Pelodiscus sinensis: one gene and its partners. The protein of the gene in region 4 purifies or fractionates together with the protein of the main gene of each other region. This does not show direct contact. Links are inferred from orthologs where the notes say so. Each region holds a gene or a part of one and is shown on either strand. Other genes may lie near its edges.

Evidence for each region.
Region 1: the proteins of EIF4A3 (region 4) and NCBP1 purify together in Homo sapiens (co-immunoprecipitation; 3 studies listed by BioGRID and IntAct, with this or other methods). This does not show direct contact. The link is inferred for Pelodiscus sinensis from reciprocal best matches to the Homo sapiens genes EIF4A3 and NCBP1.
Region 2: the proteins of EIF4A3 (region 4) and UPF1 purify together in Homo sapiens (co-immunoprecipitation; 8 studies listed by BioGRID and IntAct, with this or other methods). This does not show direct contact. The link is inferred for Pelodiscus sinensis from reciprocal best matches to the Homo sapiens genes EIF4A3 and UPF1.
Region 3: the proteins of EIF4A3 (region 4) and SRSF3 purify together in Homo sapiens (affinity purification with mass spectrometry; 3 studies listed by BioGRID and IntAct, with this or other methods). This does not show direct contact. The link is inferred for Pelodiscus sinensis from reciprocal best matches to the Homo sapiens genes EIF4A3 and SRSF3.

What each region holds. Positions count from the first base shown.
Region 1 is NC_134716.1:345,940-353,142, forward strand, and holds the start of NCBP1 (nuclear cap-binding protein subunit 1), read right to left. Parts: upstream 2,907-7,203; coding exon 2,873-2,906; intron 2-2,872; coding exon 1-1. Other genes in the region: TSTD2 (thiosulfate sulfurtransferase/rhodanese-like domain-containing protein 2), read left to right, coding at 2,905-3,148. UniProt on the Homo sapiens protein: Component of the cap-binding complex (CBC), which binds cotranscriptionally to the 5'-cap of pre-mRNAs and is involved in various processes such as pre-mRNA splicing, translation regulation, nonsense-mediated mRNA decay, RNA-mediated gene silencing (RNAi) by microRNAs (miRNAs) and mRNA export.
Region 2 is NC_134729.1:19,442,283-19,449,914, forward strand, and holds the start of UPF1 (regulator of nonsense transcripts 1), read right to left. Parts: upstream 3,011-7,632; 5' UTR 2,710-3,010; coding exon 2,509-2,709; intron 2,487-2,508; exon of another isoform or gene 1,805-2,486; intron 1,746-1,804; exon of another isoform or gene 1,684-1,745; intron 1-1,683. UniProt on the Homo sapiens protein: RNA-dependent helicase required for nonsense-mediated decay (NMD) of aberrant mRNAs containing premature stop codons and modulates the expression level of normal mRNAs.
Region 3 is NC_134737.1:17,176,092-17,183,495, forward strand, and holds the start of SRSF3 (serine/arginine-rich splicing factor 3), read right to left. Parts: upstream 3,011-7,404; coding exon 2,805-3,010; intron 1,297-2,804; coding exon 1,162-1,296; intron 1-1,161. UniProt on the Homo sapiens protein: Splicing factor, which binds the consensus motif 5'-C[ACU][AU]C[ACU][AC]C-3' within pre-mRNA and promotes specific exons inclusion during alternative splicing.
Region 4 is NC_134713.1:198,331,106-198,338,081, forward strand, and holds the start of EIF4A3 (eukaryotic initiation factor 4A-III), read right to left. Parts: upstream 3,015-6,976; 5' UTR 2,963-3,014; coding exon 2,809-2,962; intron 1-2,808. UniProt on the Homo sapiens protein: ATP-dependent RNA helicase. Involved in pre-mRNA splicing as component of the spliceosome. Core component of the splicing-dependent multiprotein exon junction complex (EJC) deposited at splice junctions on mRNAs.

The sequences.
Region 1 (7,203 bases), on a different chromosome or scaffold from region 4:
CCTGTTTCAATACAGTAATAAAACCAAGAATGCCAGTTAGTAACTCAACAGCTTTAAAAATGTTTTTGAACAATTCTGTCAGCCTCAGCCCATGTGCCAGTTCTGTACAATAATAAAAAGGACCAAAAAGATACTCAAGTGTTTATTTTAAACAGACCCAACAAAACATGAAAAACAAAGCTAAGAGTAATTAAAACATACTCAGTTTCTGTAGCCTTGTACTCTCTAGGATTTTGTTCACCGCTAATCAAATCCTTTTTACTTTCTTATTTGAAAGATGTTTTTGGAAGTGCATTTCTGCTAAAGTAGCAAGATACTACGTGCGTACCACTGATAATGCAAGTTACACACACATTATAGAATTAGTAGTACTTAGGTACAGCTCATCTGAAGTAGCACATGGGATTATCTGGCACCAAAGATAACATGAGAAAATGCCTGAGCAAGGAGGTTCAGGTAGCCTTTTACTCACAGGTTGAATCTCTCTAGTCCAGCAATATCCGTAGTCCGGCATGATTTTAGTTAGCCGTGGCAGTGTTGGTAATTCTGCTAGACAATACTGACCTCTTGTGATTCAGCAAATTCTCTGGTTCAGCACCAGTCAGGTCCCAAGAGTGCTGGACTAGAGAGATTCAACCTGTAAAGATTTTGTATTTTGGAAAAAAGACTAGGCAAACAAGCGATAAAGACCTTTTAAGAGCAGATGTAGTTGAATTCTAAATGACTGAATTTATCTTTGAAGGTCAGAGCTGAAAATGTTGGCCGTAAAAGAGTAGATTTTCTATCTTAGAATTGCATCAAATGAACTATATATACCCTCAAAGGTGCATCTCTTATATACATATATGTTATCATACTGTCATCACCAAGGCACTAAGTGACATGACTGACAGCTATCACATGTGGTTCATTTTTTCACCATCTCCCAGAGGAAAAGCTGTACATGAATTATCCTTTGTTTTAGTAAAGCTGCACCCTGCTGTACAGATGGTGGAGAAGGCAAGGTGGAAATAGTGCCCCTTGAAGCTGATGCAAAGGTGGTGAAGTTTGTGTTGGTGCTTTGTTCCCTAGGGAGTTTGGTGACCAGCCTGGAACTGGCCATTGAGAAAGCCTGCCACCTGCAGAGATGAACTTTCCCTTATGATAGTACATTCTATTGTGTTAAGGGAGTGAAGCTGTCGACTAGTCCTCATGTCAGAATTTTAGCTGATCTTTTAGACATGTTGGGCACAGATCATTAAGCACCTTCAAGATAAAAATGGAGACCTTGATGTAATACTCTCTAAAAAGTCAATGTAGAGTTCAGAACAATTCAGCGTGCTCCCAGTAGCCTTTGTTGCAGTGGTCTGCATTAGGCAGATTGATGGTTTTATGTCCAGCTATATCACATCAGTATTGGTGTGCTAGCAAGGAACCCAAGAGCATTGCTGATCTGCAGACTGACGTGATCAGTTGAGGACTTTTAACAAAAGCTGACTGCCCTGGGACTGCAAATTCCCCAACTTGACTGCTCTCAAGTCTTGCCTGAGTTCAGCTTCAGAAAGCTGTTCACATATCAGCTGATGTCAAAGCACTGGGCTACCTTGGTGATAGTAGCATGGCTCTACCTGTTCTTCACTGCATACAGCTGACTCATCTGGTACTTGAATCCAGGCATCTCACAGGTTTGCCTAGTAGCTGCATGTAGAACAGAAGTGGGAGCAAACCCCTGCAGCTTGGAAAGCCTTCCTAAATGCGCGTTCCTTGTCAGTGAAGGGTAACACCAGGTCTTCACAGAGCTGGTCTGGGCTGCAGGCATACAGCACTAAAGGGGTATAATCAAAGAATACTAGGACTGGAAGGGAACTCAAGAAGTCATTGAGTCCAGTCCCCTGCCAAGACCAAATACTGTCTAGACCATCCCTGATAGACATTTATCTAACCTACTCTTACATATCTCCAGAGATGGGGATTCCACAACCTCCCTGGGCAATTTATTCCAGTGTTTAACTACCCTGACAGGCAGGAAGTTTTTCCTAATGTCCAACCTCAACCTCCCTTGCTGCAGTTTAAGCCCATTGCTGCTTGTTCTATCCTCTGAGACCAAGATGAACAAGTTTTCTCCCTCCTCCTTGTGACACCCTTTTAGACACCTGAAAACGGCTATCATGTCCCCCCTCAATCTTCTCTTTTCCAAACTAAACAAGCCCAGTTCTTTCAGCCTTCCCTCATAGCTCATGTTCTCTAGAGCTTTCATCATTCTTGTTGCTCTTCTCTGCACCCTCTCCCATTTCTCCACATCTTTCTTGAAATGCGGTGCCCAGACCCCGGCACGTAACCAGCCCGAGGAGGCTCTGAAGACATAGAATCACAGAACCCCAGAGCCGGCAGAGACCTCAGAAGGTCAAGTCCAGCCCCCGGCTCTAGGCAGGACCAACCCCATCTAAATCAGCCCGGCCAGGGCTGTGTCAAGCCGAGACAAACACCTCTAGGGATGGAGACTCCACTGCCTCCCTAGGGAACCCAGCCCAGCGCTCCCCCCCCCCAGGGAAATGGTTTTTCCCACCCCCCAACCCGGGCCCTCCCCCACAGCTGAGGCCGTGGCTCCAGACACGAGTGACCGAGCCGCGCAGGGACCGAGGGGAAGGCTCGTGCGGACTCGCGGCGGCTTGTCCCATCCCAGGCGCGGGCGGGGGGGGCTGTCTGAGGAGCCGGAGCAGCACGCGCGGCCTGTGCGCCAAGGGCGGGGGCGGGAAGCGACGGGCGGCGCGCGGGGCCCGTAACGGCCGCTCGGCCTCAGGGGATGGGGACCGAGGCGCGCGCCCCTCGCCCGCCGGGAGCGCGCTGCGCGGCCCCGCCGCCTTGCGGAGAGCTCCCGCCGCCCCGCGCTCACCATCGTTCTCGTCGCTGTGGCGCCTCCGCGACATGCTGCCGGGCGGGGCGGGGCGGGAGCGGCGCTGGGCAGAGGCCGCGGCGGCGCCGAGAAGCGTTTCCCTCCGGCCGGCCCCTCCGCTCCGGCTTCCTGCCCGCCGCGAGCTGCTTCCGGGGCAAAGGGCGGCGGGAGCGGCGCGCCCCGCCCCCTCCCCCGCTAGCGTGCGGCGCGCCCCAGCGAGCGCGGGGATCGCTTCCGGGGCGGGCCAGGGAGCGTCGCAAAGTTCCCACAGCCGCGGTGAGCTGGGGCGCCTGCGCGAGGGCCCGATCCCGCTCGGGGGCCGCCAGTGGGCCCGAGTCTGAGCACCGGGCCCTCAGCACACGGGCATCCCCGCCCCGGGCCCTCAGCACACGGGCATCCCCGCCCGGGCCCTCAGCACACGGGCATCCCCGCCCCGGGGCCCTCAGCACACGGGCATCCCCGCCCCGGGCCCTCAGCACACGGGCATCCCCGCCCCTGGCCCTCAGCACACGGGCATCCCCGCCCCGGGGCCCTCAGCACACGGGCATCCCCCCCCCCCGGGCCCTCAGCACACGGGCATCCCCGCCCCGGGCCCTCAGCACACGGGCATCCCCGCCCCTGGCCCTCAGCACACGGGCATCCCCGCCCCGGGGCCCTCAGCACACGGGCATCCCCGCCCCGGGGCCCTCAGCGCACGGGCATCCCCGCCCCGGGCCCTCAGCACACGGGCATCCCCGCCCCGGGGCCCTCAGCACACGGGCATCCCCGCCCCGGGCCCTCAGCACACGGGCATCCCCGCCCGGGCCCTCAGCACACGGGCATCCCCCCCCCCTGCCCCTCAGCACACGGGCATCCCCGCCCGGGCCCTCAGCACACGGGCATCCCCGCCCCGGGCCCTCAGCGCACGGGCATCCCCCCCCCGGGCCCTCAGCACACGGGCATCCCCCCCCCGGGCCCTCAGCACACGGGCATCCCCGCCCCGGGCCCTCAGCGCACGGGCATCCCCGCCCGGGCCCTCAGCACACGGGCATCCCCCCCCCCGGGCCCTCAGCACACGGGCATCCCCCCCCCGGGCCCTCAGCACACGGGCATCCCCGCCCCTGGCCCCTCAGCACACGGGCATCCCCGCCCCTGGCCCTCAGCACACGGGCATCCCCGCCCCGGGCCCTCAGCACACGGGCATCCCCCCCCCCGGGCCCTCAGCACACGGGCATCCCCGCCCCTGGCCCTCAGCACACGGGCATCCCCGCCCCGGGCCCTCAGCACACGGGCATCCCCGCCCCGGGCCCTCAGCACACGGGCATCCCCGCCCCGGGCCCTCAGCACACGGGCATCCCCGCCCCGGGCCCTCAGCACACGGGCATCCCCGCCCCGGGCCCTCAGCACACGGGCATCCCCGCCCCGGGCCCTCAGCACACGGGCATCCCCCCCCCCGGGCCCTCAGCACACGGGCATCCCCGCCCCGGGCCCTCAGCACACGGGCATCCCCGCCCCGGGCCCTCAGCGCACGGGCATCCCCCCCCCGGGCCCTCAGCGCACGGGCATCCCCGCCCCGGGGCCCTCAGCACACGGGCATCCCCCCCCCGGGCCCTCAGCACACGGGCATCCCCCCCCCCGGGCCCTCAGCACACGGGCATCCCCGCCCCTGGCCCTCAGCACACGGGCATCCCCCCCCCAGGGCCCTCAGCGCACGGGCATCCCCCCCCCGGGCCCTCAGCTCACGGGCATCCCCGCCCCGGGGCCCTCAGCACACGGGCATCCCCCCCCCGGGGCCTCAGCGCACGGGCATCCCCCCCCCGGGCCCTCAGCACACGGGCATCCCCCCCCCGGGGCCCTCAGCGCACGGGCATCCCCCCCCCGGGCCCTCAGCACACGGGCATCCCCCCCCCGGGCCCTCAGCACATGGGCATCCCCGCCCCTGGCCCTCAGCACACGGGCATCCCCCCCCCGGGGCCCTCAGCACACGGGCATCCCCCCCCCGGGGCCCTCAGCACACGGGCATCCCCCCCCCGGGCCCTCAGCACACGGGCATCCCCGCCCCGGGCCCTCAGCACACGGGCATCCCCGCCCCGGGCCCTCAGCGCACGGGCATCCCCGCCCCGGGCCCTCAGCTCACGGGCATCCCCGCCCCTGGCCCTCAGCACACGGGCATCCCCGCCCCGGGGCCCTCAGCGCACGGGCATCCCCGCCCCGGGGCCCTCAGCGCACGGGCATCCCCGCCCCGGGCCCTCAGCGCACGGGCATCCCCGCCCCTGGCCCTCAGCGCACGGGCATCCCCGCCCCGGGGCCCTCAGCACACGGGCATCCCCGCCCCGGGGCCCTCAGCACACGGGCATCCCCGCCCCGGGGCCCTCAGCACACGGGCATCCCCGCCCCTGGCCCTCAGCGCACGGGCATCCCCGCCCCTGGCCCCTCAGCACACGGGCATCCCCGCCCCTGCCCCTCAGCACACGGGCATCCCCGCCCCGGGGCCCTCAGCACACGGGCATCCCCGCCCCGGGGCCCTCAGCACACGGGCATCCCCGCCCCGGGGCCCTCAGCACACGGGCATCCCCGCCCCTGGCCCTCAGCACACGGGCATCCCCGCCCCGGGGCCCTCAGCACACGGGCATCCCCGCCCCGGGCCCTCAGCACACGGGCATCCCCGCCCCGGGGCCCTCAGCACACGGGCATCCCCGCCCCTGGCCCTCAGCACACGGGCATCCCCGCCCCGGGGCCCTCAGCACACGGGCATCCCCGCCCCGGGCCCTCAGCACACGGGCATCCCCGCCCCGGGGCCCTCAGCACACGGGCATCCCCGCCCCGGGGCCCTCAGCACACGGGCATCTCCGCCCCTGGCCCTCAGCACACGGGCATCCCCGCCCCTGGGCGTGCAGCATAGGAACAGCGCTGGCCCCAGGCGCGCGGTGCATAGGCACTACCGGCTCCTGGGCGCGCGGCACAGGAGCGGCGCCAGCCTCAGGCATGCAGCGCATGGGCTGTTCCAACCCCAGGCGCATGGCGTATGGGTGGCCCCATCCCCGGGCACATATGCAGCCCCGCCCCTGTGCGCCTGGCACAATGAATGGCCCCACCCCCTGGCACCCGGGAGCCCCAAAAGGTTGGGGTCCACTAGTCTAAAACCATTTTGAGGGAACAGGTACATTTTCAATAGCCAAGTGTCAGATTATTTTGGATTGCTTGATGTGAAGTCCAAATATGTTGTTTCAATAAGGCACCAATATTTCATTTTGATTTCCTGGATTTCATTCATTTTGATATTCTACGTTAAATATATGTCTAACATGTTTCAACATTATAAAAACAAAATGTTCTGAATCAAACTTTTTTTGGAATTTCCATGCTGTGAAAAGGTTCAAAAACTTGACTTTTTGTTCCCAAACAAATTTCAGAATGTTGGTATTTTCTGCAGGATGGAAATTCCCCTTTCTAGCCAGCTCTGTGGAAAGTGTATGTCCCCTGGTACAGAACACCTCCCAGACTGAGCAAGACTTGAATTCCTAGTGTGCTCTAATAGAAACCTCTGGAAGAGAAGCAAGGTGACAGGATGCTAGAGACCCAAGTACATGTATGTTCTTGGTGTTGCGCAGATATCACACATTCTCTCTCCCTCCTTGTGGCAGTTGTATGTGGTTCCAGTTTATTAGTATGAATAGTAACACTATCAAGGTGAGCAGTCCATAAGTGTTATTTTGTCCATAAAATTAGTGTAAAAAGGTTGTGAATTGTAAATTGTCCCTGAAGTGAAGTGTTTCCAGGAAGGAGGTGTGAGATGAGGCATGCTTCCTCCGATACAGAGTGTAGCACTCCAATCTGCCTACCTGGCAAGGGAGAGAGAAGAGGGCACCCTAAAATCCATGGCCTGCTATGCACTATTTAGCACACTGATCAGTCACCCTCTCCAATGAACAGGTCAGGATTTTTGAAATCATGAGTAGTGATAGAAATGTAGCCGTGTTAGTCTGGGGTAGTTGAAGCAAAATGCAGGACAATATAGCACTTTAAAGACTAACAAGATGGTTTATTAGATGATGAGCTTTCGTGGGCCAGACCCACTTCCTCAGATCAAATAGTGGAAGAAAGTAGTCACAACCATATATACACCAAAGGATAGAATTTAAAAAAATGAACAAATATGAAAAGGACAAATCACATTGCAGAACAGAAGGGGGATGCGGGGGGGTGGGAAGGGGGAGGAAGGAAGGTAAGTGTCTGTGAATTGCTGATATTAAAGGTAGGGAGAGTGGGATGTTTGTGAGTTAATGGTATTACAGGTGATAATTGGGGAAACTGTCTTGGTAATGGGTGAGAAAGTTCAAAGACTTGTTAAG
Region 2 (7,632 bases), on a different chromosome or scaffold from region 4:
ATTCTGACAAACACTTAAGTTCCTGGTTTAATGTACATTAGCGGAAAAAAGCTCTGATATAGAGAAGAATCAATTGCTTACACTTTGTTAGAAGAGCAGGCAAAAGAACCATATCTAACTCTCTCCTCATAACATCTAGGAATTTGAGACATCTGAACATTAATCCATAGCAAATAAACAATGTGCATACATTTAAAAATAAAAGATTAAACTGGATTTAATGGTATGGAAATAATACTTAAAGGTGATCATCTGTCAGGCCTTGTAAAAAGTTTTATTTTTAGTTACTTCTCTTGCAGAGTACAAATTTATGTAGCTTTTTAAGGCAGCAAAATGTTCCCCAAAACCCAAGATGAGTCTGCTAAAATGTACAAGACTAGACAGCTATGTAACAAGGTTAGGAAAACTAAGGAAATCTATAGTTCTTGCTATACTGCGGTTCAAAAGGAACATTATCTAAACATCTAAAGAAAATCAGGTTGTGAAACAAGGAGGCAACAGGAGTATCAAGAAGAATATGACAACTTGCAAAAGTTTCTGAAAGAAATTGTTTCAGCAGTTTGATAGAGATATAAAACCAATTTTTTTCCCACAGGATAGCAATAGATTTTATTATTATAAAAGCTCTAAATACACTGTACATAGTTTTTAACTTCTATATTTGTTTTCCTTTCAGACCACATATTTAAAGGAAATTGTATTTGATATTAATCTACAGACAGGAGTCTTAGGGTGCTAAGATTGCCAAAGACTTTCAGGAGGTCTATACATGTTGTTAGTATGGCTCTCTCCAGCATGTGGATCAGATGGCAACGTTTCCCCTCTTATTTGTTAAGCTTCTATTTTAAATAAGTCCTCTGTCTAGGCATATGCAACATGAGTTTTCACTAGGAACGTAACTGATTAAAGAGAGGATGGGGGGCACGTTTTAGCCCAATCCCGCTGGAGCAGCCTCCCCACTGCAAGCAGAGCTCATCATGGGCAGGGGCTGCGGTGGGTGGCCAGAACAGCCTCTGCCTGCGATGGGCCCAAGCCCACTTAAGCAGCCCCTGCTGGGGGGAGGGAGGGGCAGTGAGCTGCTCCACTCCCCACTAGTTAACCAGAACTGCTAAGCATCAAGTGGGATGCTTATTGGTTAACCTTTCACATCCCTAGTTTTTACTGAGGTTGATATCAGAGTGCACCAAGTAAAGAGACCAATGAAGATGAACCAAGAATCCTTTCTACTGCCAGACTTGAGCTCAGGAGTCTGTCTCTCTCTTACAATAGACAACATTACGAACAGCTCAGGTAATTGCATCCCTGATTCTGTCTTTATGCAGCTATCAACTTTTGGAGAGGACAGAACTCTGAATACAAGTCTTCATAAGTAAATGGAGAAATGAAAGCACACACGATATTCTTGAACTGGGATCTTAAACTTAGTAGCACTTCAATTCACCTTTTAATTTGCATTTTAATCAGTAGATAGTTTACAAACTATTGTTGGTACTGGGATTATATCAGCATTTGCTTGTCCATGCAGTTGACTAGTTGACACATTCTGTGATCTTTTTAAATATTATAGCAACTATGAAGCTTAGATGTCTTTAAAAACAGCAATGTAAATTTTCTGCCACACAGAGTCATAAAGCTTAAATGCAGGTTACCTTCATTTATGATATTTCATCGTGTATATGCATCTTAACTTCCTCTTTTCTTACACTCGCTATTCCAAGAAAATCCTGGTTTCCCTTCTTTTTTAACTTCCTCTTTTCTTACACTCACTATTCCAAGTGAATCCTGGTTTCCCTTCTTTTTTAACTTCCTCTTTTCTTACACTCACTATTCCAAGAAAATCCTGGTTTCCCTTCTTTTTTAATATGAAGGGACTATACAAGGCTATTGCTCAGTGGTATATCAAATGCTACCACATTTCCCTTAAAATATTGTCTATTACATTTTAATCGTCTCCAACCTTCAATCCCAAATGGGGTTCACAGGAATAGGACACACGTGCCAGCCACCACACACAATGCAACGGGAAAAGATGGATAACAAGGAAGAGGGAAAAACCACCACACGAATTAGCCCCATGCAACGTGTTTCAGAATTTGATCACAACTAAGTTGCCCAATTGGAAAGGGGGGGGGGGGCATGCCAGCGGATTGTGCTGTTCCCCACAGGCAGCAAAAGGCAGACGGGGGGGGGGGGGGGGTTCAAGCCAGCTCCTACCCACAACACGGAAGGAAGTCACATTCCTCATGATGCAACCCTGAAATCTGACACTTCTACAGCCCCCCCCCCCCCCGGCCATGTGTTCTCAGAGAGGAAGGGGCACCGGGTCCAGCCCTGCCCCCCACCCCCCTACACTGGCAGCACGTGCCGGGCTAAGGCGAAGGCAGAGAGTAACCCCCCCCCCCGTGCTGAGTGTGTGTGTGGGGGGGGTCTCTGAACGCCACCTGCCCACGCGGGGCGCTGCTGCGGCTTCCCTCAGGGGAATCCCCCCCCCCCCCAGCGCGGACCCACCTGTGCCTCGATCTGTCCGGGCGGCCCCTGCCCCGGCGGCCCCTGCCCGCCGTGCCCGGGCGGGGTCTGGGTCTGGCTGGGGAGGGTGAAGTCGGTGAACTCGAACTCGGAGCCCTGGGTGTCGGCGCCGAGCAGCTCGGCCTCCTCGGTGTCCAGGAAGGTGAGCGTCTGCGAGCTGGGGCCGTAGGCCTCCACGCTCATGGCGGCGGCGAGGGGCCGGCGGGGCCTCGCCTCACGGCGGCCGGGCAACCGCGCTACGCGAGCGCCGGGATGGGCCGCGCGCACCAGGCCGCGCGGCGCGTCGGGCGCCAACGAAGCAACCGCCCCTCTTCCCCCCCCCGCCCCTCCTCTTCGGGCCGGGCGGCCGGACGCAGCCGAATCAAGCGGGGGCGAGGGTCCGCCGCGGTGCCGAAGCCCGAGGCGCTGGGAGCGGAGCAGGCCGGCCGGGAACCGCCGCGCGCCAGGCAGGCCAGGGAGCAGGGGTGACGCGGAACGCACGGGGAGGGAGGAGGGGGGGGACGCGGCGCGCGCTCAGGACGCGTGGGGCCGTGACGTAGGCACGCACGCACGCATGCCCGGCGGCAGGTGGGGGGGGGGGGGGGGGCGCGGAGGGAAGGCCCGGGGGCGGGGTCCTAGGTGGGAGGTAACCATAGGCTCCCGTGAGGGGAGGGGCCGCCAGTTGTCCTCTCCCCCCCTCCCCCCACAGGGAGTGGTAGGGGCGGTCTCTGCCCCCACATGGGGGGGGCACTGCCCCCATGGGGAGTGGAGGGAGGTCTCCAACGGCCCCCAGGTGTGGGGGTGGGGAGGGGAGGGGAGATCTGCCATTGCACACGTGTGTGTGTGTGGGGGGGGTCTTTCACTGCCACCCAGGGAGGTAGGGGGAGGACTACCACTGCCCCCCATATGTGGGGAGGGGAAGTCTGCCTCTACCCCATGGGGTGGGGGGGAGGGAGAGATCGCTCGCTTAACTGCTCCCCATGAGTAGTGAGGGGGAGGTCTCCAGTTCCCCCATAGGTGGGAGTGGGAGGTCTCCCACACAAACAGGTGAAAGTCTCTAACTTCCCCTCTTGGTGGGGAGAGAGAGGTCTTTAATTTCCTCCATGTAGGTGGGTGCCGGTCTCAAGCTCGCCCCCCCCCCCCCACACACACACACTGTTGGTGAGGAAGGTCTATAGCTGTCTTCTCTCCCCCAAGAGAGAGGAAGTTCTGTGTTATCAGCGAAGAAAGCAAGCAGAAATCTCTGCTGCCTCTGGTTCATGGAAGGGACTTTTCACCTTCCTGTCACTGTTTTGAATCCACCATGGGCCCAGAGTGACTGCATGTCATGTCTCTGTGTCGCTACGCAGTCACTCCGGGCCAACACTGGATTCACAATGGTTGCCTCCATTTGAAATGAGTTTGGTGGGTCTCAAGCCAATCTTTAGGGAATGCTTGTTTACATCTCAAAAGCCACATGTGCAATTTGTGATGTAGTGAAAGTGGGGTACTTGGGGCCAGGACTCTGGTTCCATTCCCAGATCAGAGCGTGTGTGATGTAGATGCTAAACAAGAGTGTGGGAAGTAGGACACTTGGTTCATTTTCCAGCTCACTGCCTCAGTTTCCCTTTGCCAGGAATAGAAATATGCATATCACAGAAAGGTGTGAGTATTAACTAATGTTTTAAAACACCATGAGACAGACAGAAGGTGATAGAGAAGTGTTAAGTATTATTATTATTATTATTAATTTATATTGATTGATTGCTAACAGTTGTGCCTGGACGGGGAGGCTAATAATCAAATGTACTGTGGAGACTGAAATCTTTACTCATCATTAAAAAAGGGCCTTCCACGTAAGACTGAGGCACATTAGAATTATGGTGTAGGTGAGATAAACAAACAGAAGATTTTGATTTCTAGGGTTCCCATCAATTTTTACCAGCACAAAATTCAGAATTTTTCTAAGGTTAGTTGTGGCAAAACAGGCATGTCAAGCACATTAAACCTTTTCTCTTCCCTCCCCACAACCCTGAAACTTGTATTCATGGCTATGGAAAGTGAACATATGTTTCCTTCTATATCTAACCTCTATGTTTGTAGTTTCAGTGTAAGACAGTGATGAGCAACTTCTGGCCGATCAGGGTTCTAGGGGTGGCCTGTGAGACATTTTGTTTACCTTTGCCCATACACTGGGTTGCCAGATCCCACTGGTTTCCATCCGCATAGGGTTTTTTTTTTCTACTGGTACAGGTTGGACCTCCCTGGTCCAGCATCCTGGGGACCTGAGCGATCCTGAACCAGGTAGTTTTCTGGACCAGGGAGGTCAACTCTCCCCTGCTTGGCGCCGACCCTGCTCCTGGGCTCTCCTCTGGGCTATGGGGCTCTCTGCCCTGCTGCCACCCCCACTGCTGTCAGTCTGGCTGGGGCTTGTCAGGGCCAGGGCTTGCCAGCCGCCACTGGCCCATCTGCTGCCAGCTCACCTGGGGCTCCCCAGCTGCTGGCGGACTCCTGGCTGGCTCGCTCTCCGGCCTCGGGGGCTCTTTGGTCCAGTAGCATCCATAGTCCTGCCAGATTTGAGAGGTTCGACCTGTATTACCAAAGTGAAATGCACATAAAGCAAGGGCATGTGAAGTGAGGTGCGTGCTTATTATCCACAACATTGGGAGAGCCGTGTGCTCCCTCTGCATCCTAACTGCTGCTACAGTTCAAATGGCACACCGTACAAGTTCTAGGTATGCAAGCACAGTTAGCAAAACTACCCTATCTTGGGAGATCATCTTTGTGACGATAATCTTGGAGCCCACTGAGATGAAGGAGGACCACTCATGTGGCCCACTCACTAGCCTCAGTTGCCCATTGCCAGTGTAGGAGAAGAAAACAGATGGACCAGGTTTGCCAGTGTCCATCAGATTTTGATAAAATATTTGCGTTGATGGAATTTGGCCAATTGCTCCTTCTCTCTCTTTGAAACATCCTTCTCTTTGAAATATCATGCATTACTCCAACATAGAAAAGCAATTAGAGTGGTTGGAAGGGCTATTATTTCCCGTACATGGCTTGTTTGTTTTCACCTTTAGGGTGTGTCTAGACTACAGGGTTTTGTTGACAAAAGTGAACTTTTGTCAACAAAACTATACTTGTTCTGTTGACAGTAAGTTGACAAAACGCGGCAGTTGTGTCGACGGCGGTAAACCTCATTCTGTGAGGAATAACGCCTTTTGTCGACAGAGTTCTGTCGACAAAAGGTGCTGTTGCATCCCCACTGTGCTTTTTCAAAAGAGAGCGTTTGGACTCTGTCGAAAAAGTGGCTTGCTTTGTCGACAGAACTGTCTGTAGACTAAATGCTCTTTGTTGACAGAGGCTTTGTCGACAGTGTCTGTTAAAGCCTCTGTCGACAAAAGCCTGTAGTCTAGACGTACCCTCAGTTTCTACGCTTCTGTGAGGAAGCAGGATGCACTGTAGGTTTCCGTTTAAACTGTCGACATCCAGAATCATTTGACTTAGCCCAATGACATTTGTATTGTGCTGGGGCAGTTCTTGATCTTCTCTCCTATTTGGTTGAATGGTTTTCCAGGTCTGTAAATCACAAATATATATATTTCCTGATGCAACAAATTCAGCTGTTTGAGGCTAAAACAATCTTTGATCGGTTTTATCAAGCCATTATGATTCCAAAGGGCTGGCCTGTCTATAGATGTAGGATTCTATTGAGTCCATTCTTTAGCTGGAAAAGGACTTGCTTGTTTTGACTTTGAGCTATCTAGTATCCCTTCACACGGCTGTGCCACTGTCTTTTTTAATAATGAGGGGTAGTAGTGATGTGTTTTTAGCCCACAGTCATTAAGAGAAGTCCCTTGTGTGTAAATATAAAATCAGGACTAGAGTCCTTCAAGTCTCAAAGGTAAGTTCACCTGGTGTTAGTACTCTTCCTCTCTAATTGTTAGCTAATGGTTTTTATCTGCTTCTTTTAACTATCCAGTCTTTAGGTACGTGTTTATATACTATCAGTTTTGCCTGTTACATACTAGCTCGGATTTCCCTTTGATATTTTTATACTCACTGCCTCTTTTTGTTCCTCCCCTCCCATTTTTTTCCTCTCCCCCTGTCCCGCTCCCTTCTTCTCTATTTATTTATTTTTGGTTCTGGACATCCAACACTCTAGTCATCTGAAGAAGTGGGCTGTGCCCACGAAAGCTCATGATACCATCTACATGTTTTGTTAGTCTTTAAAGTGCTACCAGACTTTTTGATTTTTTAATAACCTCACTATTTCTAATCTTCCAGGGAGAAAGGTGTTAAAATGACACCGTCAGGTTTCTATGACCTAGGACTTTTAAAGTACTTTCTGTTTTGTGCGCTATGACAGTATAGCAAAAATGTATATTGTAGTATTGGTTATAAGCAGTAGATTGCAACCGGGAAGAGCCGGGTTTGGGCGATCTGCGCATGCATAGAACGATCTGTGCATGCGCAGATCGCCGGACAGCGCAGCTGGCGAGTGGGGCTCACCGCGGTTCAGCGAGCCCTGGTTATAAAACTATGAGTATGATGCATAATGATTTGATGTATAATGACTTGCTTATAAGTTCTGTATGCTTCTATTTCACCCAGTTTCTCATGATTAGATGATGTTTACTGTAAGGCCTTGTGTCCTGTTAGCATTACAAATTAAGTTGTACTCCTTGTCTGCATGACAAAAGTTGTGGAAGATTCCTTTCTTTTTGCTGTCCCTTTAGTTACTATTAATCTTGTCTGAAACTCCGCACAATTGTTTGGTGTGAATGGAGGAAGTGTGTCAGCATGACAGTCATCACAGATGCCCAGGTGATCAAGAAGAAGTGGAAATCTTGAAGATACCCAGGAAACCACCATTCTGACTGAGGCTGAATTGAATTAGCAGCATTGAGAGAATCGTGGAGATAGGCAGAGATCCCCACGAGTGAGAGACAAAGATGGGAAGTTTGACAATCACCATCAAAGTATAATTCTGGAAAACACAGATTGACACCTCTTAAGTATGGACAATTGCAGCAGGACACTGCAAAACCCACAGACTCCAGTTGGAACTGACATGTATAAAGTGGGGACCTTTGCACATTAGGATTTCCGGGTTCAGTCCAGCAAGCCAAGCCTGAGAGGAGTCTC
Region 3 (7,404 bases), on a different chromosome or scaffold from region 4:
GGGGGTGTTGTGGATTTTTCCTGCTTTTTTGTTAGCCGAAGGCTGCTGCTGTAGTTGTTGTGAAGACATTTGGTAAATAAACAGCTGAGCTGATTGGCCGGGAATGTGTGGGCGGTCGAGGTGGCTGCTGCCGATTTGGTTAAGGTTGGAGAGAAGGCTGAGAGAAAACAGCATGCTCGGGAACCAAAGGGCGGTGCAACCTGACGACTGGCCATGCCTGGGTCATGTGAAACGACACCAGCCAAGCAGAATGGGGCGCGCTGGTCACATGACGCTGAAAGGGCTAGTTGACTGGCTAATGCAGACTCAGAGGGTGGTGAGAAGAGACATGATGGTGACTCTGTAACGGGTTCATTTTTATTAATAGATGGACCAAAAAGCATAAAAAAATGAAAAACAAGCCATCAGTACAACCATCTAGCAGCTAACATACTCCTATTGTGGGTTTTTTATTAGCAAAAGGGACATGGTTTCAAACTTATCCTGTGAGAACTTCACTCACCTGGCAATAGTTAAATTCAGTCCTGTATGAACCATGTTGTAGGCTGAGACGTGCAGAGTTCTAACACATTCAGACACGTTAGTCCAGATCCAAGAAAGTAGGTAGTTACCAAAAAAACCCTGCTATATTTTAGGCTTGGGTTTGCAAAACTCAAATGACAGATACTGTCACAAGAGGTTTTAAACTCTTTACTAGGGTTAAATTAGATTTGTACATTTAAATGCAACTGTTACTTGTTTTAACATAATTAAACAGCTGCCTTCAAGGCAAATATTTGAATTGTTAAAGGGGAGAAATGCATTTGCATGGAAAAGTTAAGTTGCTGAATGTAATGTTTGTCATTATGGAGTAAAAGAAAGGGAACAACCTAAGTAGATGTATGGGAAGAAAGCGACTACAAGATGTGCAGATTTTAGGAAGAGAAAGGATAAGTCCAAGGCAGAGGGTGCTGGCTATCAACTTACAGTGACTTACAGACAAAAGCCAATGTTCAATACAATTTATGTTCTCTTGATTTTATATAAAATGTCTGGCATCTCCAAATTGTGATCAGGATGTTTAAGATGTTACCCATGAACATGCTTTAAAGAAAGCCTGCTTCTATGGTGCTAAATGACAACAATTCAACAGCTCTATGCACTGTCTTTGACCTAGGGTACCTGCGGCGAGGAGGAGGACTTCTTCTGCGATAATCATCTCGAGGACGCCTACCCCAGGATGGCGGCGGACCACGGTTACGACTCCGTTTTTCACCATTGGACAGCTCCACCCTGACTCGGCACCCGCAGAGAGTTCTGGGAAAAAAGTTACAGTTAATACTCTAAGCAATAAATCGGTCTGCTCTGAAGACATACTGGCACGCACTGGAAAAGAAAACATTGTGTACATATAGCACTGAAAAATTGCTAGGGAGATAATCTCAGATGGAGATTCCACTAAGTGCAGGTTAGACAAACACTTGTTGGAGATGGAAGGAACCTATGTATCTAAACAAATGCACACAATATAAAGAAGTCAGATTCAAAGTGACCCAAGCCTCTCCTGTCTAGTTACTTAACACCAAGAAAGCACAGAATCTACCCAAGCGTTTCCTGGGGATGAATTTTGTAGATTTAACTTCATTAACTATGTAGCTTTCTCTCTCATGTAAAGCTGGAAACTCAAAGCTCAATTTTAGTGAACACCTGCAGCTTTATACCTTAACAGCATTGCTGTCCTATGTCAAGACTAATGGTTAAAATAAATTTTACAGTATACCCTAGAACTCTGGCTTCTCCAATACCATTTGAGTGAAAAATCCTGCATCTCCTCTCTATGTAGAATATTTATTTTACAAGGAGAGTAACTAGAAAATGTGACTAAAATGAAATTATAGCATTTATCACAACTATAATTTAATGGAAGTCACAGTTGAATAAGTTTAGTGAAAAGCCCATACTCGGTTGTAGCAAAATCAGGATAGATTGCTCAGCTGGTTAATACTTTAAATCTAGCTGGTAGTCAAAACAAAATTTTAATATCACTTTAAAAGAGCTATTTAACATTCAGCTATCCTTATCTCTTCCACTTCGAAATTAAAAAGCTGTGTTCAGAGACACTAAACTTAGCTCCACTGAAGTAATAAATACACTTCTGAAACGTTTTATGAATACTACTATTTCATGTTTTGTTTCACAAGAATTAAAAGTTCCTTGTGAAATGTTGACTTATTGTCCATCTCTGATACTCCACATACCAGGTACAGGTGGAATCCAACTCTTCTGAATTCTAGAGGCTCTCAAAGTACTTCTAGATGTATTACCAGGTATTTGGAATTTTCAATCTCAGGCCAAGTCTATCCTAGAAAGTGTTTGCCAGCATACCAGCAAATCCACTTACGTAGAGACATCTTATCCCAACAAAACATTTCCTATACCAGATCCCCCAAATGAAAAAGTACAGAAGCAAAAGAACTACACTTTGCTGGTGTAAATGCACCTACTGCTAAGGCACTGCCACTATAGATAGAAAAATCATCCCAGCCTACATTACACCCAGCAAAGGGGTCTCAATTTGACTTCAATTACCAAGAATATCAAATATTGAGATTAACCACAAAAAAGTCTATTTACATAGTTAGCAACCTTAATTAAGAGTTATTCTGGTTTATAAATTTGAATTAGTGGGCAAGTAATTCAACAACTGAATGGCTAGTTAATCTCAATGCCATGATATTACTGGATCTTGGTTAATTTAAGTGTGAATACAAATTGCTTAATCATTGTAATTAAATTAAGTGCATAGTCTAATTAACAAATTTTACCTTCCATCTAGTTCTCTTACTGCATCAGCAGCATCTCGGGGATCTTCAAATTCAACAAAAGCAAAGCCAGGAGGATTTCTAGCAACCCACACACTGCGCAGTGGTCCATAGTAGCCAAAAGCTCGTTCCAATTCAGTTTTGTTGCCATTGTTTCCAAGGTTACCTACATAAACCTTGCAGTCCAGTGGACAAGAGTCCCGATGCATCACTAGGAAAGAAAGCCCAGTAAGTTTAAAAAGCAGATTCCCTCGGCCTACAACTGCAGTATTTCCCTCGGCGGTTAGGCTGCTGCCTGCACTGAAACGCGCAGATGCTAGGCCTGGATGTGCAAGTCTCTCCTCATCTCACCCCGTCAGGCGGCATTGCTGCGTCCTGAGACCCCAGAGACCTGCAAACCCAGGGCCGGGGCGCAGATGCCCGCAGCCCGCTGGCGCGCGGACCCGAGAGGTAAGGGGCGTCGCAGCGACAGTCGGACCCTTCGCTCGCGCGTTAACCCGCGCGCCCCGCCCCGCGGCCCCGCCCCCCGCGTCTCCCCGGCGGGCCTGGGACGGTGGCAGCCAAGACCTGCAGGGGGCGCCGCGCGCGCGCCGAGGGCGCCATTGTTCGGAGCGCGGCGCGCGCTGCCCTGCGGCCCGCCCCGCACGAGGCGCCCCCAGGCCTAGGCCGGCGCGAGCCACCAGCCTGCCCCTCCCCCGGGCACTCGCCGCGCGCGCGGGCCCGCCATGAGCCGGGGGCTCCGGGGGACGCGCCCCGCGCGGGAACCTCGCGCCCCCCCCGGGCCCGGCCTCGCCGCGCCCCATCGCCAGGGCCTCGCTGCCCCCCAGGGCCCCCGCCGCCTGCGGGCTGGGCGGCCGCGCCCGGGCCCCACCGCACAAAATGGCGGCGGCTCTTTGTCCGGCGCCTGAGGCCGCCCGGCGCCCCTCCCCGCGCGCAGCCGGGCCCCGCCCTGAGCCCCGGCTCGGCCCTCACCGATTCCCGGGGCGGACGGGGCTGCGAGAAGGGAGCACGCGCTACGCCGCAGCCGACTCGGTCCCGAGCAGGCTCCCGCTCCGCTTCTCCTGACTGGACAAAATGGCGGCAGCCGCCTCCCCCGCCCGGCCTTATATAGCCCCTCCGCCCCCTCCCGTCGCCAGCCACCGTCAAATCAGAGCGCGCCTCGCACGGGAGTGACAGGTCACGGACCCGCCCCCTCGCTGCCTGATTGGCCTTCCCGCGCCAGGCCCGTCCCGGGGCGCCCCAGGGCCCGCGGGAAGCGCCGCGCTCGCCGCTGCCTGGGGCCGGTGCCGGGCCGCGAGGGCGGCGCTAAAGGCTCGTCGCTGCCGCGGGACGGGCCTGGCGGGAGCCGCGGGGGGCGGGGGCCGGACTCGCGGGTCGGGCCGGGAACAGCCCTGCGAGGGGCGGTGTCCGGAGCGCGGGCAGGGAGCGGCCTGGGGCAGCCGGGCGGGGCGGGGCCGGACTCACGGGATGGTTCATTGGGGGAGGAGCTCCCGTGGCCGGACCCGCTTCCCCGGATCAAACAGTCACGGACACACCAACGGGCACAGTTAAAACGATCGGGGGATCCCCTCCAAGTGCAGCTTTCAGAGCCCGTGACTCATTCATGCTAAAATGTGACACTACGCCGGGGTCTCAACAAAGACGCTAATTATCTCACCCATTACAACGAGCCTCCCCAGTTATCACCTCTAACACCATTAGCTCACACCCCCCCCATCCCCCTCCTGTTCTGCAATGTGATTTGTCCTTTTCATGTGTGTTCATTTTTTTAATTGTATCCTTTGGTATATATGGTTGTGTCTGTTTTCTTCCATATATCGATCTGAGGAAGTGGGTCTGGCCCACGAAAGCTCATCGCCTAATAAACCATCTTGTTAGTCTTTGAAGTGCCACCTAGTCCTGTATTTTGCTTCATGGAAAGGGAGGGGTCTGATAGGAGGGATAACTATATTCTGCAATGACTGTAGGTGGGCAGCAAATATGGGAGACAGCTGTACTGCGAAGTGACCCCCCAGCACCCTGTCCCCTGCTGCAGAAACCTGTCCTGGCACCCTGCCCCCTCTCCCCTACCCCCACTGGCACCCTGTTCCCTGTCCCACAACCCACTAGCACCCCTCCCCAGTACTGTGTCCCCTGCTCCCAAATGACTTTTCTATGGGTCAGTGACCCCTGACTCAAGGCAGGTTCCCTGCCATTCTCATAAATAAAGACAATGCAGAAACTTTTTGGCTGTGTCTACACTGGCATGAATTTCCGGAACTGCTTAAGACGGAATACTATTCCGTTTTCAGTTTTTCCGGAAAAGGAGCGTCTACATTGGCAGGCTGCTTTTCCGGAAAAGCCCCTTTTCCGGAAAAGCGTCTGTGGCCAATGTAGATGCGCTTTTCCGGAAAAGAGCCCCGATCGCCATTTTGCGATCGGGGCTTTTTTCTGGAAAAGACTACTGGGCTGTCTACACTGGCCCTTTTCCAGAACAGTGTTCCGGAATAAGGACTTATGCCCGAGCAGGAGCAGAATAGTTTTTCCAGAATAGCGGCTGATTTTGTACAGTAGAGCGTCGTTGCTTTTCCGGAAATTCAAGGGCCAGTGTAGACAACTCGCAGCTTATTCCGGAAAAGCAGCTGATTTTCCGGAATAAGTGTCCCAGTGTAGACACAGCCTTTGTGTTTAACATAGTATTCTATTTAAAAATGAAGCCTGGCCAACAAACCCTCAATTGGGGCCAAACCCCCATCTGGCCACAACCACTCCTGCACTCCCCCTTCCCCAGACCCTAGATCTGAGCCTATCAAACACTGGAACCTCATGCCCTCAGCCCCTCACATACCCCAACCCAAATTCACATCCACAAGCCTGTGGCTTGCTTAGTATCCCAACACTGCCCAGCCTGGAGCCCCCTCCCCGAGCCAGTGTCCCCTTCTCCACCTCCTCCTGCATCCAGATTTCCTCCCAGAGCTTGTACCTCTCACCCCTTCCCACACCCAAATCCCTCATTCCCACCGCAGAGACTGCACGTCCTGTCTCAACCCAGCGGGGGTCCGGCTAGACTGCAGGAGTTTTTCAGGATTCTGGAGATATCTCAGAAAAACTCTTCTGCATCCAGGGTTGCGTTTGTTCTTCCGCTTTTTTAGTGGAAGAGCAAACAGGCTCTTTTGGTCACCCCTATATTCCTCTTTCCCCAAGGAATAAGGTGGCTTCCAAAAGAAGGGTTTTTTTTCTGACATTTGGTCCAGTGTAGACAGGCCAAATGTTGGAAAAACTTCTTCCTTTAGAATAGTAATAATAATAAAAAAAAATAAGCAGCAGTATAAGGATTGGGGATAGCAAGTGATGGAGAGGAGGAGACTAGAGAGAACGGGGCTTCAAGGAAGGGACGGGGCGGTAGATCTTGGCTTGGTCTGTCATTTAAAAAGTGATCTTGGGTATAAAAATGTTGGAGACCACTGACTTAGAGCGTGGAGCTGCTGTCTCAGGCTAGCCAAGGGCTGTGCTTAAAGGGACCCGACCTCCATCCCGGACAGACAGTTCTCAGGGGTTCCCCGCTTGCAAAGCAGTCCTGGCTTGGAGTGCCCTGAGTGCCCACACTGGGCACATCACAGCACTCGGCCATCAGCCCGGCTGCACTTGCTGCAGGTTGCCATCCGGGGAGGGGTCAGCCGGGGGGGCTGCAGGAGAGCTTCCACCCCGAGGAGCCTGCAGAGCCACCCCAGTCCTCCCCATTGGGGGCTCGTACCTCCCTCACCTCCTTCCACTTACCCCTCCCTAGCCCCCCTTCCTGATGTACAAAATAAAGGACACATGTATTCAAAAATAGAAACTCTCTTTATTGAACAAAACTCGGGGAGACTGGGAAAAGGAGGTGGGAGAGGGGAAGAGAGAGGCTGGGAGAGGGGAGGGCAACCTAAATGATTAGGGGTTTGGAACAGGTCCCATATGAAGAGAGGCTAAAGAGACTGGGACTTTTCAGTTTAGAAAAGGGGAGACTGAGGGGGCATATGATAGAGGTCTATAAAAGCACGAGTGGTGTGGAGAGGGTGCATAAAGAAAAGTTCTTCATTAGTTCCCATAATAGAAGGACTAGAGAACACCAAATGAAATGAATGGGTAGCAGGCTTCAAACTAATAACAGAAAGTTCTTCTTCACAAAGCAAATAGTCAACCTGTGGAACTCCTTGCTGCAGGAGGTTGTGAAGGCTAGAACTAGAACAGAGTTTAAAGAGAAGTTAGATAAAGTAATGGAGGTTGGGTCCATGGAGTGCTATTAGCCAGGGGGTAGAAATGGTGTCCCTGGCCTCTGTTTTGGAAGGCTGGAGATGGATGGCACGAGACAAATGGCTTGGTCATTGTCTTCGGTCCATCCCCTCCAGAGTCCCTAGTGTTGGTCGCTGTCGACAGACAGGCTACTGGGCTAGATGGACCTTTGGTCTGTCCCAGTACGGCCATTGTAAGCTCAGGGTCGGGGGTCTCACTGGACCACCCTGATTTTCATGCACACCTGCTCCTGGGTGGCCAGGCTGGCAGTTCTCCTGCCCTAGACGGCCACTTTCCTGTGCCTAGTGCGGAGGTCGTGGATGAGGTCCACGATCTCCGCACTAGACCAGGT
Region 4 (6,976 bases):
GGCGCCCCAGGCCAGTGAGGGCTTGGGGGCAGAGGGAGCACGCCCTGAGTGGTGGGGGGGGGCGGGGGGAGACTGCGGGCGCCCCAGGCCAGTGAGGGCTTGGGGGCAGAGGGAGCACGCCCTGAGGGGCGGGGGGGGGGGGCGGGGGGAGACTGCGGGCGCCCCAGGCCAGTGAGGGCTTGGGGGCAGAGGGAGCACGCCCTGAGGGGCGGGGGGGGGCGGGGGGAGACTGCGGGCGCCCCAGGCCAGTGAGGGCTTGGGGGCAGAGGGAGCACGCCCTGAGTGGTGGGGGGGGGGCGGGGGGAGACTGCGGGCGCCCCAGGCCAGTGAGGGCTTGGGGGCAGAGGGAGCACGCCCTGAGTGGTGGGGGGGGGCGGGGGGAGACTGCGGGCGCCCCAGGCCAGTGAGGGCTTGGGGGCAGAGGGAGCACGCCCTGAGTGGTGGGGGGGGGCGGGGGGAGACTGCGGGCGCCCCAGGCCAGTGAGGGCTTGGAGGCAGAGGGAGCACGCCCTGAGGGGCGGGGGGGGCGGGGGGAGACTGCGGGCGCCCCAGGCCAGTGAGGGCTTGGGGGCAGAGGGAGCACGCCCTGAGGGGCGGGGGGGGGCGGGGGGAGACTGCGGGCGCCCCAGGCCAGTGAGGGCTTGGGGGCAGAGGGAGCACGCCCTGAGGGGCGGGGGGGGCGGGGGGAGACTGCGGGCGCCCCAGGCCAGTGAGGGCTTGGGGGCAGAGGGAGCACGCCCTGAGTGGTGGGGGGGGGGCGGGGGGAGACTGCGGGCGCCCCAGGCCAATGAGGGCTTGGGGGCAGAGGGAGCACGCCCTGAGGGGCGGGGGGGGCGGGGGGAGACTGCGGGCGCCCCAGGCCAATGAGGGCTTGGGGGCAGAGGGAGCACGCCCTGAGTGGTGGGGGGGGGCGGGGGGAGACTGCGGGCGCCCCAGGCCAGTGAGGGCTTGGGGGCAGAGGGAGCACGCCCTGAGGGGCGGGGGGGGGCGGGGGGAGACTGCGGGCGCCCCAGGCCAGTGAGGGCTTGGGGGCAGAGGGAGCACGCCCTGAGTGGTGGGGGGGGGCGGGGGGAGACTGCGGGCGCCCCAGGCCAGTGAGGGCTTGGGGGCAGAGGGAGCACGCCCTGAGTGGTGGGGGGGGGCGGGGGGAGACTGCGGGCGCCCCAGGCCAGTGAGGGCTTGGGGGCAGAGGGAGCACGCCCTGAGTGGTGGGGGGGGGCGGGGGGAGACTGCGGGCGCCCCAGGCCAGTGAGGGCTTGGGGGCAGAGGGAGCACGCCCTGAGTGGTGGGGGGGGGCGGGGGGAGACTGCGGGCGCCCCAGGCCAGTGAGGGCTTGGGGGCAGAGGGAGCACGCCCTGAGTGGTGGGGGGGGGGCGGGGGGAGACTGCGGGCGCCCCAGGCCAGTGAGGGCTTGGGGGCAGAGGGAGCACGCCCTGAGTGGTGGGGGGGGGGCGGGGGGAGACTGCGGGCGCCCCAGGCCAGTGAGGGCTTGGGGGCAGAGGGAGCACGCCCTGAGTGGTGGGGGGGGGCGGGGGGAGACTGCGGGCGCCCCAGGCCAGTGAGGGCTTGGAGGCAGAGGGAGCACGCCCTGAGGGGCGGGGGGGGCGGGGGGAGACTGCGGGCGCCCCAGGCCAGTGAGGGCTTGGGGGCAGAGGGAGCACGCCCTGAGGGGCGGGGGGGGCGGGGGGAGACTGCGGGCGCCCCAGGCCAGTGAGGGCTTGGGGGCAGAGGGAGCACGCCCTGAGGGGCGGGGGGGGCGGGGGGAGACTGCGGGCGCCCCAGGCCAGTGAGGGCTTGGGGGCAGAGGGAGCACGCCCTGAGTGGTGGGGGGGGGGCGGGGGGAGACTGCGGGCGCCCCAGGCCAATGAGGGCTTGGGGGCAGAGGGAGCACGCCCTGAGGGGCGGGGGGGGCGGGGGGAGACTGCGGGCGCCCCAGGCCAATGAGGGCTTGGGGGCAGAGGGAGCACGCCCTGAGTGGTGGGGGGGGGCGGGGGGAGACTGCGGGCGCCCCAGGCCAGTGAGGGCTTGGGGGCAGAGGGAGCACGCCCTGAGGGGCGGGGGGGGCGGGGGGAGACTGCGGGCGCCCCAGGCCAGTGAGGGCTTGGGGGCAGAGGGAGCACGCCCTGAGTGGTGGGGGGGGGGCGGGGGGAGACTGCGGGCGCCCCAGGCCAGTGAGGGCTTGGGGGCAGAGGGAGCACGCCCTGAGTGGTGGGGGGGGGGCGGGGGGAGACTGCGGGCGCCCCAGGCCAGTGAGGGCTTGGGGGCAGAGGGAGCACGCCCTGAGTGGTGGGGGGGGGGCGGGGGGAGACTGCGGGCGCCCCAGGCCAGTGAGGGCTTGGGGGCAGAGGGAGCACGCCCTGAGGGGCGGGGGGGGCGGGGGGAGACTGCGGGCGCCCCAGGCCAGTGAGGGCTCCGCACTTAGTCCCGGGTGCCCCGTGCAGGGCGGGGGGGGAGCCAGGCCCTTCCTGCTCTCCCTCCCCTGGGGGCAGCGCCAAGTCTCCTCCCCCCCGCCCTTCAGAACAGCCGGCAGTTGGGGGGGGGAGGCAGCTCACGCACCCCCAGGCCAATCAGGGGAGCACAGAAGTGTCCTGGCCCCCGCCCCTTCCGCCTGAGGCCCCGCCCCTTCCGGGGCAGCCCAGGGCCAGTTCAAAACCGGCCAATAACCACCGCCCCTCCCCCCCGGCCCGAGGGCTGCTCGGCGCGCGGCGAGCGAAGCGCTGCGCAGGCGCGGCCCGCGGGGCAACGGCCGCGGCGAGGGGAGCCCGCGCGAGGCCCGGCCCCTCCCCCTCCCGCGAGGCCGGCGCGCACCGTAGGCGTAGATGCCGCGCAGCAGGTCCTCGCGCAGCCCCATGGTGTCGAAGGTGGGGGTCACGTCCACCTCCTCGCTCGTCTCGAACTCCACCTTGGTCATGTCCTCCTCCTTCAGCAGCCGCTTGCGGGCCGCGCCCGCCGCGCCCGACATGGCCGCTCCGCCTCGCGCCCAGCCTCTGCCGCGCGCCTGCGCCGCGTGACGGGGAAGGCGAGCCTCGCTGCGGAGCTGGCCCCGCCCCCAGGCGCTGGCTCCTCCTCCCGCCCTAGGACGAGCCGGGGGCGGGGCGCGGAGAGCAGAGGCCGCCGCGGGGCGGGGCAAGGGGCGGGGCGTGTGCCCACGTGTCACCACCAGCGCTCCCGGGGGGGCCTGGCCCCGTCAATTCACATGGGGGGCGGGTCCCGCTGCGGCCCCAGGGGCTACGCCCCCCGCCCCGCCCCCCCAGGCTGCTCGGGGCCGGCCGGGCGCACAAAGGCAGCAGAGCGGGCCCGGCAGGAGGCGAGTCCCGGCGCCACGGGGAGGGGCGCTGAGGCGGACGGGCCCGGCACGCGCGGCTGAGGTCTGTCCCGGGTGTGTGACACCGGCACGGGGGGGCCGCTCCACCTCCAGCTTCCTGCGCGGGGTGCGGGGGGCTGGGCCGGCCCCGGGGGGTGCGGGGTGCTGGGCCGGCCCGGGGGGTGGGGGGGGTGCGGGGTGCTGGGCCGGCCCGGGGGGTGCGGGGTGCTGGGCCGGCCCCGGGGGCTGGGGGGGTGCGGGGTGCTGGGCCGGCCCCGGGGGGTGCGGGGTGCTGGGCCGGCCCCGGGGGCTGGGGGGGGTGCTGGGCCGGCCCGGGGGGTGCGGGGGGCTGGGCCGGCCCGGGGGGTGGGGGGGTGCGGGGTGCTGGGCCGGCCCCGGGGGGTGGGGGGGTGCGGGGTGCTGGGCCGGCCCGGGGGGTGCTGGGCCGGCCCCGGGGGGTGCGGGGTGCTGGGCCGGCCCCGGGGGGTGCGGGGTGCTGGGCCGGCCCCGGGGGGTGCGGGGTGCTGGGCCGGCCCCGGGGGCTGGGGGGGGGTGCTGGGCCGGCCCCGGGGGCTGGGGGGGGTGCTGGGCCGGCCCCGGGGGCTGGGGGGGTGCGGGGTGCTGGGCCGGCCCCGGGGGGTGGGGGGGTGCGGGGGGCTGGGCCCGCCCCGGGGGGTGGGGGGGTGCGGGGGGCTGGGCCCGCCCCGGGGGTTGGGGGGGGTGCTGGGCCCGCGCCGGCCGGCCCGGGGGGTGCGGGGCGCTGGGCCGCCCCGGGGGGTGGGGGGGGTGCTGGGCCCGCGCCGGCCGCCCCGGGGGGTGGGGGGGGTGTGGGGGGCTGGGCCCGCCCCGGGGGGGTGCGGGGTGCTGGGCCCGCGCCGGCCGCCCCGGGGGAGGTGCTGGGCCCGCCCCGGGGGCTGGGGGGGGTGCGGGGTGCTGGGCCCGCCCCGGGGGCTGGGGGGGGGTGCTGGGCCCGCGCCGGCCGCCCCGGGGGGTGGGGGGGTGCGGGGGTTGCTGGACCCGCCCCGGGGGCTGGGGGGCTGCGGGGGGCTGGGCCGGCGCCGGCGGCCCCGGTGGCTGGGGGGGTGCGGGGTGCTGGGCCCGCCCCGGGGGGTGGGGGGGTGCGGGGTGCTGGGCCTGCCCCGGGGGGTGCGGGGGGTGCTGGGCCCGCCCCGGGGGCTGGGGGGCTGCGGGGGGCTGGGCCCGCGCCGGCGGCCCCGGGGGGTGGGGGGGTGCGGGGTGCTGGGCCCGCCCCGGGGGGTGCGGGGTGCTGGGCCTGCGCCGGCCGCCCCGGGGGGTGGGGGGGTGCGGGGTGCTGGGCCTGCGCCGGCCGCCCCAGGGGCGGGGGGGAGGTGCGGGGTGCTGGGCCTGCGCCGGCCGCCCCGGGGGCGGGGGGGGGTGCGGGGTGCTGGGCCCGCGCCGGCCGCCCCAGGGGAGGTGCTGGGTTTTCTCCCCGTGATAACTGGGTTTCTCTGGGGTGGGTTGTGCGTCTGTGGAACATCGCTGGGCCTGTGATAGTGTCTAGGTCTGGCCATGCTTAGTACAGTTGCTTGGCTCGTTTGTGTCTAGCTCTCTGCTGGTCCCTCGCATTCCTTCCGGAGCTGCGATGCTGCTGCTTCTGCCTTTCTCCCTAGGCCTTGCCGCAGCCGAAGGGTGCTCAGATAGCCAGGACCTGCCTGGCAGTGCCAAGCTGTAATGAGCGGGGGGTGAAAGGAAATGATCCAGAGCTGAGACTGCTTGTCCGTTCCAGTCATTTGTGAACTGTCTGCAAGGCCAAAGGTGGCTTGTGTTCCAGTTCCAACACTGTTCCGCAAGGTGTGCTGCACCCATCTACACTAGGACGCTGATACATGAAATAAGCAGCAGGTGCCCCCCAGTCAGAAATAAAAGTGGCTTAACTGTCCAAGTCTTTTGGTAACTGCGCTGAGAATGATTTTGTCCCATCTGGCCCCTCCTAAGCCATTTCTAACACTGACTGAAGTCATGTGTCACATAGAATCACGGACACTCATCCAGTCCAGTCCCCGCCCTCACAGCAGGACCCAGTACCAGGGTTGCCAACCGTCTGTAAATTTACAGAGAGTCCGTAATAGCTGAGAACTGGTATCCAGGGCCCCTTCTCCCAGTGCAGATGGGACTCTGGAGAGTTGGAGCGTGTGGCTCTAGTACATAGCAAAGTGCACAAATGAACTTGGCCCAATGGAGCCCACCTTGTGGGTGTGATGCCGGTTGGGGGGGGGGGGGGTATGTCTGACGGCACTTGCTGCCAGAGGGTCACCTCACTAAGGTGGAGGGACTCTACATTGCCTTGCATTTGTCAGCTTCATTTTTTCCCCTTTATTTCTTCAACTGGACTATTTTGCACTGATTTTCTTTGTAGCCTCATCGCTGAGCCGCTCCCATTGGCACAACGTTGGCTCCTTCGCACTTCAAACTCCAGAGTGGCTGTTGCCTCTGTAGAACAAGGGAAGGGAGGGGTTGTGTGTAGAACAGTCCATATGAAGGACTGCAGGCCAGTAGAATTCTGGAGCTTTCAAAGTTGGTAGGGCCAAGACTTGATTTATTGGAACAAATCACATCAGCCAGTGTCCATTTGGTTTCTTTTCATTAGGAGTCCACACACACGTGGAGCCCACTGCAGGTTCAGACCGTAGGGCTTGTGTGCTGGGTAGTGTCCAGCGCTTTTTACAGAGAAGTGTACACAGCTGATTGTGAATATCTTGTGTAAGCTGGCTACCCTCTTGTCACATCTAGCGTGAAAGGCAGGCACTTCTACTTGTCTGTTGGGGCTGAAGCTGCAGAACTAGGCGAGTTTCCTTTATTCCTGCAGCTAATTTGGTTTTCTTTAGCGTGAGTGTAGAGCTTCTTAAGGCCTGGATTGTGCTACCCTTACACACCTTGAGTAATCGTTCTCTCTGTGAATGATCAGATTCCTGTGAGGCTACTTGGAGAATAAAGTGAGTAAGACGCTGCTGAAAACAGAAATGGAAACCACAGTCTTTGATTTGTACTTGGAACCTGGACAGCCCTGCCACGCCCCCCTCTCGATTCCCTGGAGATCCTGCTGGGGCGAGGGAGCCCCTCTCTGATCCTCTTTTAGTTCTAACTGAGACCGGGTTCTGCCTTGATGCCCCTGAACAAGAGGTGCAACGTGCACAGATACCGAGACCAAACATTCTTTGCTGCACGTATAATGCTGACCCATGTGTCATTGTCCCTTTTCCTGTGCACCCACTCAGGAAATGCCGCCCAGACTGCTCCTTCACTCGTCCCCTTCCTCCAAACAAAGGGCGTCAAGACGCTGTTCCCTCTGTTTTCCCTCTGTGTGCAGAATACATTTTGTTCTGTGCACCAAGGCACGTGCAGATGTGCACCACCAGTAGGAATACCTGCTGCCAGCTGGGGGCACGCTGTTAATTGGCTGGGGGGCATTTTAATCTCTCCTGGGCAGCCACCCAAGTGCTTCACTTTCAGGGAACGGTGCCTCAAGGCAGTGACAAAATACAGGACTATGTAGCACTTTAAAGACTAACAAGATGGTTTATTAGATGATGAGCTTTCGTGGGCCAGACCCACTTCCTCAGATCAAATAGTGGAAGAAAATAGTCACAACCATATATATCAAAGGATACAATTAAAAAAAATGAACAAATATGAAAAGGACAAATCCCATTT